Linked DNA regions of Drosophila melanogaster. The protein of the gene in region 1 interacts with the protein of each later gene in a pairwise test. Each region holds a gene or a part of one and is shown in the gene's direction. Other genes may lie near its edges.

Region 1 (4,749 bases):
AGCTTGTTCCTGCCACATGGAGGACACCCTCCTGGTGAGAAGCACCAGCCCAAGATAAAGTTACCCTGACTTACCCACTTTTTACACAGCTTTAGCGTTGGCCGGTTTTCAGCATGATCACAGCCCTAAATCCTCCCAGGAATTCAGTTTGAAGCAGCTTATTGGCGACGGATTGCTGTGGGCTGTTCCGAAGCACAGAAGATCCGTGGAGAAACGCCTGAAGCGGAAGTTCGGATATCCGGAATACAACTGGAAGCCTTTGAGGGAGAAGAGAAACCTCCGCTCCTGTCTGCAATGTGGCCATGACCACGAGATGGGAGTTCTTTGTCGTAAGTAGCCTTAAAAGTATACAAAGAGGTAGCCACCTTTAATGTTGCTCTTCCAGCCTTCTGCTACCAAAAGGTCCTGAAGGAGACTGAGCTCATGCAGTCGAAAATCCAGGAGACACTCGGTCTAGATCCCGTGGACAAGGAAGTAATCGTTCTTTATGAAGGCGAGAAGGCCGAACAGTCCACAGATGATCTGAAAAACAAGCGCATCGTGGAGATGAAGAAGCCTCGTCCCATGTGGTTCACCAAGAATCTGCTCCAAAAATCCACGCAGCAGCTGTCCGAAACCAAGGAAGTCAAGCCCTCCGACTTGGCCTAGATACTAAGCATCCATTGTGCATTAAATCCACACGTTCGTTATCAAATCGATGCTATTTTATTCTCTGTGAAGGATAAGGACCTTGCTTGCTTCAGGAATCCGTTGTTAAAGTCCTGGGCACTCATAGGTTTTCTACCTTCCACGCGTAACTGAAGCACTTCCAACTGACTCTGCTGAGCACATCCGATTATGAGGGATCTCGACTTCCTTAGGTAGCTGATGGCACCAGGTTCTTGGACGGGAACTCTCTTCTCCGGTAATCGCAACTCCAGCAACTGCACTTGCTTGCCCAAAAAGTTGGTTGTAAGGTTTTTGTAGCCATACAAAGCTCGATGACGAGTGTATATTTCAATGGCACTCAGCTCGGACCAGATAATTTCTGTGATTTTACTGGTAATCTTGGGAGCTGAAGGCAAAAATATAGTTTATATAGGTTCTCGAAGTGCTTAGATATGCTTTACCATAGCTGACCCTTGAACTATCTTGGGGTTTGGCTTCCTTAAGTCTTACTGATAGGTTGTTAATAGTATCCACAAGTAACTCGGCTCCTAGCGACGCCAAAGATGCATGCAGATCCGGCATGAAGACATCGGGATTAATAGCCACTTCTCGCTGAGCTAAAATCTAAAGCATAAGTCGTCAATACTACTGCATACAATGGTAAGATAAGAATGAACTTACATCACCGATATCGAACCGGTGAGGTTCGATTTTCATGATGGAAACTCCAGTGCTGGCATCTCCCTTCATGATGGCGTATATGATGGGAGCAGCTCCCCGCCATTTGGGTAACAAACTAGCGTGAACATTGATCATCCCATAAGGAAATCCATTGATGATACTACCAGGAATCAGGTGGCCAAAGGAGACCACCACACCCAGATCAAATTGCGGACACACAGAAGGATCTATGGGCCACTTTTGCAGGGGAAGCTTCTCCTTTTCCGCGTAGGTCCTCACACAGTTGGCGGGACTTTTGAAGGAGGTAACAACTCCCAAACGATCACTAAGAAAAATATTCTTATTAATCCAATTTAACATTATTGTTTAAAACATTTTACCCGCAGTTTTTGTGTAGCGCCTGTAAGCTGGGCAAGGAAAAATTGTCGGTACCGAAAAAGAGAATTTTTGGAGGGTGGTAAGTTCCCTTGCAGCGCTGTGCAATTGGGATTACATTCTGCCACACTTTTCTCTTATATTTGTAAAAATTATTGACTAAACTCTTGCCGCAAAACATCGGAAAATTTGTTGGATAATAATGCAGCGTAAACAAAAACAGCTGTTCGCGATACCAGCTGGTCACTCTACCAAATAACGTAATAGGAATGCTGAGATAGAGTGAAACCTGTTGAACCTATCGTCTTCAACCATGTAAATGGTGGTCTAACTTTATAAGATCAAGAGTCGTTATTTTTGTTTAAGTAATTAAACTTAGCTCAATACATTACTTTACTTTTATTTATCTGTCTTCAGTGACTATAGACTATCGGTATAGTGTATATTATTTTTTTAAGTTCATCGCACGGTCATACTAATGAGAACGCAATAAAAATTTGGAAAATCAAACATCTACAGGAAAACGTATATTTTTGGGATCAAGTGCCAAGGAACTCCAATACTGCAGAATGGAGGCATCTGCTGCCAAAATCACGCCTATGGCCAGTTCCATGTCCGCTTCCGGATCCACAAACTCCCCCTCCAGTGAAAAAATGAACTACGCACTGCAAGTGGCGCTGCAGACGATCAAGGAGCGGTGCATCCAGCTGCAGCGCCGCGTGGCCAGCATGGAGGAGGAGAACCAGCAGCTAAGGGAGGCCTCCAGCAGGTCGGAAGGTGCTCCAAGGGCAAACGAAATCGGGGTCACTGGGGACGTCCTCTCTCTGAAAGCACAGGTCTCTGAGCTGCAGCGCCAAAAGGAGCAGCTGGAGGAGCACATTGGCATGGTATCCAACGAGAACAGACGGCTCTGGTCCCGCCTATCGCAGATCTCCAAGGATCAGCAGCTGAACGCACTGCCCAGCTCAACAGACTCGCGAGCCCAGCAAAACCAGAACCTGGTGCGCTCCAAGACCTTTACGCAGCACTCCCCCAATCCTCACCTTCGCCAAAAGATGCTCTCCGACGGCATTAAGGATCTCAGTCTGGAGGAAATAGCCCTGGATGACTTCGGTGCCAGCAGTGAGGAACTAGGTTACCCCTACAACCTGCAAAAGGTGGAGGAAACCACTAGTGAACCAGATGCCAATGTGGATGCCAAAAGATGTTTGGATGGACTGCAGGAGCTGAGGCGAGAGGCCATGAAGCAGCAGCAGGAGCTCAGATCGGTAATGACTCTGCTAGAAAATCGCATAGGTAAGCAACAAAATGGAATTCATGCTATAAAAAAAATAACTTTTAACGCCTGTTTTATGTGCAAGCAGCACTCAAGCCCTGTCCGGAATGTGCCCAGAAAACCATCAAAAAACCGGAGATGGCCGACAAAAGTCTGGAAACGGACGACAGCCTGACCAGCGAGCTGAAGAACTATGAGAGCCAACACAATGGACACAATGGCACGCCGCCCAGCCAGAGAATTAACATAATACAAGAGAAAATCAAAGCAGATGCAGCCGACGCAATGGAGAAGACCTGCCCTATGTGCGGCAAGCAGTACTCCAGCCAAGTGTCCTTCAATGCGTTCCGCGAGCACGTCGAGATGCACTTCATCGACGATGCACTGGAACTGGAGTCGGAGAACAGCATTGAGCGCCAGTTTGAGTTCGTTTCCCATGCTGTGGGTGACTTCTGACCCAGTAGGCGCATTTATTTCGCCACCGAACTCTGACCTGACCGGAGAAATCCAAGGATTAAGGAGCAGTTTGACTGCGCAGGAGCCGCTTGTTACGTTTCTATTGATAAGACGTTAGGGCGATCATGTATCAAAACTATACAACATTGAACTTTAAGAAAAAATATATATATATTGTATTATAATTGCGGAGAGTGCATGAATATATAGATGTAAGTGACCGAATACGAAATACAGTTTAAATGAAAAGCCTGAAAACATGTTGAGCGCTCTCTTCGGTTGGTTGGAAAGTGAAATCGTGGACCGTGGACAACATAAATATTATATTATTAGCGCTGACAAATATTGTAATATCAAAGATGACGATCGATGTTACCATCGCTTGTGGTCATTATCCGATCTAATTGGCAGCTTTTCTGTGAGTCACACACTTTGGGGGAAGAGTGGAACATTCGACAAAGAAGTTTGGCTTGAGGCCATTATGCTGTAACTGGTCAGAGGATTTCCCTGTTTTTTTGGCTATGACGTAGTCGAAACCCGACTGGCAACGTGTGCCTAATCGGGCTGATCCAGTCATTCAATGCGAATATTTGCCAAAATATTGACCATAAGATTTGCCATTGATAGCAATACAAATGCAAATGCTCAGAGCTAACTTTCTTTTAATGCATTTGGAGTGGGTCGCAGCAGGAATTTAGCTTAAGGAAACATTTTAATTTGCCTATGCTAATAAGTTTGATAAATAAATATTTTTAAGACACAGGCACGTGGCAGCTCCCGTGGATACTTTATTACGTTACTATGAAATGCTCAGATAATGAAACAAATTATCAAATCTGGTGCTTATCTACAAGTCGTATAACTGGTAACCCCACCCATTCACCAACCAATGTGCATAGAATTTGTAAGAGTTCAAGCAACTTTTGTTAGATCTTTTCCGCATTTCCAACTAATACTGGGTTTTCCTAGCTCTCATGGTCTATATATTGCGATCCATCCATTTATCATTTCGAAAACCCAGCGCTGCAATTAGTCTGCCACTTGTTGCTACCGTTTGGGGCTAATCACGCGCCACTTAGGTGTCGAATTCAGATCCGATCCGATTCCATTCCGACTTCCCCCCAGACGCCAAGTCTACGTGGGCACCGTGCCCCTCCAAACTATAAAAGATATCGGGGTGTTTATGGCCCGTTTCAGTTGCTCGCAGTTCGCAGTGGCAACAGCATCATATAGAGGCCAACATATCTCCCGCACATTCGCGCCGTATGAATTATGTAAAATCGAAAACGCCGCGAATTTCAATACAAAGACAC
Region 2 (4,499 bases), 5.1 Mb from region 1:
AAGCTAGTTCGGTGCTCAACCATGGTGAGTAAACACTGAGATTACTCAGTAAAATGTAGTAGCGAAAATACAATAGTTCGCGTTAGGTTTAATATTCTTATTTTATTAGTTTCACACGACTGTATTACATTCAAATTTTAATTAATTTAAGCGCAATTAAATCTATCTCTCATTTATAATTTATCATATATAGAAGCTTAAGTCAATTTTGTTCAGTGCCAATAGCTTGCGGTGGGCGCACGCGGCGTATACGTAACATAGCCTTACATATTCATTGCAATATCCGCCTTGTCTCTTATCTGTTTTACTTTATTTTTTTTTTTTGGTATACCCTTTATATTCAGAATCCCCTGCTGATTTGCTGATGTCGTTGGTGTTGTGACTGTTACAAGTCCATTTCCCAGTTGCCAGTTGCCGAGCTGCTCACGTTACTCGGTCATGTTTAATTAATTTATGTAAACTCGGCCACCCACCTCCGTTCTCGGAGGTCTGTCCTCGTTTCCCACTTCCTCATTGCCATATAACCATGCATATGTGTGGCTCGACTAGAGAACTGGAATGCTCAAATGCACGTGCCATGGGCGATGGGCGATGGGCGTTTTGCGATGGGTTCACAATTGGGTTCGCATCGGGTTCTTCACGTGTTGGTCTCCGGTGTTTCATTGATGCTAATACTGCCAATGTTGCTCCATGGAAGGCACGCGAGTTTGGTGTTATGCCACAACAATTTGCGTCAGCAATTGGCTCCAGCTGCTCTTCCGCCGGCATTGGCTGTTGGGTAAGACAGACTCGGCTCGCAAATCTGGCTGACACATTTATATAAGCGATCTAATGCCGCATGACTGCCACCGAAATGGATATGGGCTCAGTGGGATGCAATGGGTATCGAGTAGCAGGCGAGAAGGCAAGACAGTTTATCAAGTATCTAAAAATAGAAATTTTCAGATCAAGTCGATTTAAAATATATGGATTATTATTAAGATTAATTCGAGATTAAACAGACAACAAACCGCGTTCTGGAGATCATTGCTCAAATTTAGAGCAACAATTAGAAAGAAATTTAAAAGATACTTGCAGAGTCTTTAGAATATTTTACACATCCCAGTCAAATGATGCCCACTGATTACTCATTAGCCAAGTGCAATTGCCCGAACATTTTCTTAGATATTTTCCAAGAAATATTTCACAAGCACACGTAGCCAGGGGCGTCGGCCTGCGGGGCTTCCACATAAGTGTGTGTCATAACCTCCAGTGTTGTTATTGCTGCTGTGCCACTTTTGCCGGAGCTTTATTTACATGTTTTGCACATTTACTTCGCTTGCTTTTAGCCAAGTTTGCTATTTTTTTTCTCTTTGCTGCTGGTGCCATTTCCAAAGTGAATTCATTGAAAGCACCACTGTTGTTGCTGCCTTTTTATTTGTGCTCGTTGCTGCCTGCTAATTTGCAGCAACACATAAAAATAAACTGAAAGAAATACACCGACACAAGCCTTAAATAAAAATGGGTGTGACGAGGCCACGTGCAAGCCTCATGACGCTACAAATTCAAAACCCCCCAAACTCGTCAGCCTTCCCTGGGGAGGCGGCGTTCGAAAGGGGCGTGGCAGCCGGAGGGTTGGAATGTTGGCCAATGCCCTCGCCCTCTGCCATCACTGAAGGTATTTAACATTTTATTTCCATTTTAGCATCACCGGTGACTAATTCACAGAGAACGAAGCGAGGCACGTGCAATGGCGCGGCGATGACGAGGCAAGAGAACTCCAGTACTTTTAAAGTGTGTGAATAGAAGTTAGATACAGCCCAATGTTAGATACACACTATCAGTGTGGTTTTAAAATGGGTTAAGTAAATAGTTTGTTCTTAATATTGAAGTATCTTTTAGATAACTTAAATTTCTGTTGAGCAACTGCAATTTTTTATTCCAAGCCCAAGGCGCAAGCGAAAAACTCGATTAGTTTCATTAGTTAGTTTTTTACGAGAAACCCATTTTAATTCAAATGAAGTTACTAACTGTCAACCATAGTAGTAGGAGATTTTTGATTTCACTCGCATGAAAATTAAAGTACAAAACAGGAACAGAGTTCTTTCTTAGTCATGGAACTTGAAAACGTTAAAAGTTTGGGGGAAATTGCTAAATGTGCAAAGATGCCATTAAACGAAATGGATCTCATATCCCGAACTTCGAAATGTGGAAAAAGTGTTTTAGAAATCTTCGACGTCGATGAGAAGGTCAGTTTCTCATATGATGGAGGTGAGGAGGAAGAAATGGATATTCTCGATCGTTCAGAGCAGTCTGATGATCGACCAGTGAAAATGGCACACGATATTGACTGCCTGATTCGACAGATTGAGCTTATGCAAATAGCGATTAGGAAGCGTCAAGTTAAGAAGTGCAGCGAAGAAATTAGCGAAGAAACTGCTGAAATAGAAATAGAAGCCGGTGCTCAAGTAAAGTGCAAACAGCGGAAAAACCAAGGAATCGACATTAAGATTAAGGAAAAGTCTGTAGCCATTTGTCCGAATAACCAACCTTTGTGCGGCAATGAATTGCTGGAAGCCAGGAGTCTTCGTCAGGCCCACAATCGCATTCAATTGCAAATAGACGAACTGATCTGCAGGTATAGGAAACTCCGCGAAATCATCCACCAAATGCGCGAAAGGATTCGCTGCATGGAAGGCAATCTTATAGATTTAAATTCTGAAGCCGTTAAGTATGTAGCTTGGTCCAGCGAAGTTTCCAAGGAACTGAAGTTGTGCCAGGAGCGATACAATTACCTTGTCAATGCCAAGATGTCCAAAGCGGATGCAAAAAAACTAGACCACGCTCACACCACACGATTCCTTAAACAAAATGCAGCTTGCCTTTCCAAAAGTCGTCTAAAGCGCGAAATCGCTGATTTCAATGGCGAGGTCAAGGATCTTGTGAATCTAATGAGTGAATTGCACAAGGAACTGGATCGGAATATGGCTGTTTTCGAATCACGGCATTCGAATTTTCTTGATGATCCAGAAGAGTTTCTATCATCCTTGACTGTGACGGTTAGACTATCCGATGAGTTCCGGAAGTCACAAATGAAACTTGAAGACAGCGCCAATTAGAATTTGATCATTAAAATAGCTTTATTTATTGTTAAGGGAAATATTTCATATTAGCACCATTATTTCGACCAAAAATTACTAATAATAAAAATATATAAATCGGTCTTCGTATTAAAAACAATAAAAATAAATTACGTAAAATGGACGTAAAATGTTTCTGGCGCAGGAAGTCCCTGATGATGTGTTAGCCCGCTTCGCACAATACGTCATCGACTTTCTCTCATTTCCTTTCACCTTTCACGAGGGCGTCATTAGTTGGCTGCTACCTTCACGGAGCCAATCTCACGTTTCGCTGCACTGGGGCAAGGTGTCGTTATCACGTAAGCTCTATTTGGCCAACCTGACAACGACTTCGTTCCAATTTTAGCGATTCCTCGGGTGCAGTGCCATGTGCAGCGTAAACTTCTAGGAGATGCGTCATGACCCTGACCATAGACACAGTCTATTTCCAATCGTTGTGTGCAGGAATTATGCGCTTACATACAGATATGAGGTATACATATTCATTAGAGAATTGTAACTTTATGTGTACATGCTTATTCCAAATGAATTGTGTAGAGCCAGCTAATGAAAATTATAATATATTCTTTGTTCATTACATTTTTTAATTGCAGAAATATTTTTGTTTGTATGACCTACATTTCATTTTCTATATGTAAGGCACATTTAGCTTTATATATTTTTGGTTGTGTTTCATTTTTCGTGACTTTCAACAGCTGATGTTTGCAATGAGCGTTGCGACTGCTAATTGGTGCAAAAAGCGTTGTCGTCGCCGGAACGCTTAACCCTGGTGCTGGTCACGTTTTTTGCCCACACGCGATGACCACATTTACATACCAGATACCCACACAGAGACACATGCACACAGACAATGTTGTAGACATCGACTGATTAGCTAAGCACTTGACCACACAACTGCACCGTGGGCTCGGAAAATCGCTGTGCTTTTAGTTTTTTTTTTTCTAAATCAGGAAACGAGTTTAATTTTAAACTTCATTAAATGGGTTAAAATCATTGTATTTCGCTTACGTGCAACAATTTGTAGACAATGTATAAAAACGAGGTCATGTTATTAAATTGCCTGAGTTCGCTCACGAGCTTTGAGCTGCGAATTACACACTCAAATGATTAATTAATTAAAGTTAATTATTAGCTATATTATTAATTGTTTTACAAAAATTAGACATGATTTTCATTCACTGTACAGCTTTCAAGCTTTTTCTTTGTTCACTACTTAACTAAGTTTCTTTGTTCCTCTTTTTGTGTTTGCAGTGGCCAAAGGTTCGATGAACTCGATGAGCCGCCGTCGACCGGCGCGATTACAGCGCAGGATGCCTCACATCCTTGCCCGCGTGTCCTCCTTCTCCACGGACACGAGCAGCGGCGTGGAAACGGAGGTGG

Evidence for each region. Proteins that work in one complex are often made in the same cells at the same time.
Region 2: the proteins of spn-F (region 1) and CG14556 interact in a two-hybrid assay, tested with the Drosophila melanogaster proteins (one large-scale study listed by BioGRID).

The regions. Positions count from the first base shown.
Region 1 is NT_033777.3:31,252,970-31,257,718, forward strand, and holds spn-F (spn-F), read left to right. Parts: upstream 1-2,157; 5' UTR 2,158-2,273; coding exon 2,274-3,000; intron 3,001-3,068; coding exon 3,069-3,436; coding exon of another isoform or gene 3,437-3,472; 3' UTR 3,473-3,690; downstream 3,691-4,749. Other genes in the region: mRpL32 (mitochondrial ribosomal protein L32), read left to right, coding at 1-34, 90-329, 386-648; CG1750 (uncharacterized protein), read right to left, coding at 690-1,054, 1,110-1,272, 1,330-1,654, 1,710-1,885. UniProt on the Drosophila melanogaster protein: Plays a role in oocyte axis determination and microtubule organization during oogenesis. Also required for polarized organization of the bristle. Required, with jvl, for activation of the kinase IKKepsilon in the germ line.
Region 2 is NT_033777.3:26,124,634-26,129,132, forward strand, and holds CG14556 (uncharacterized protein), read left to right. Parts: upstream 1-2,025; 5' UTR 2,026-2,093; coding exon 2,094-3,098; 3' UTR 3,099-3,235; downstream 3,236-4,499. Other genes in the region: Cipc (clock interacting protein circadian), read left to right, coding at 1-24, 4,371-4,499.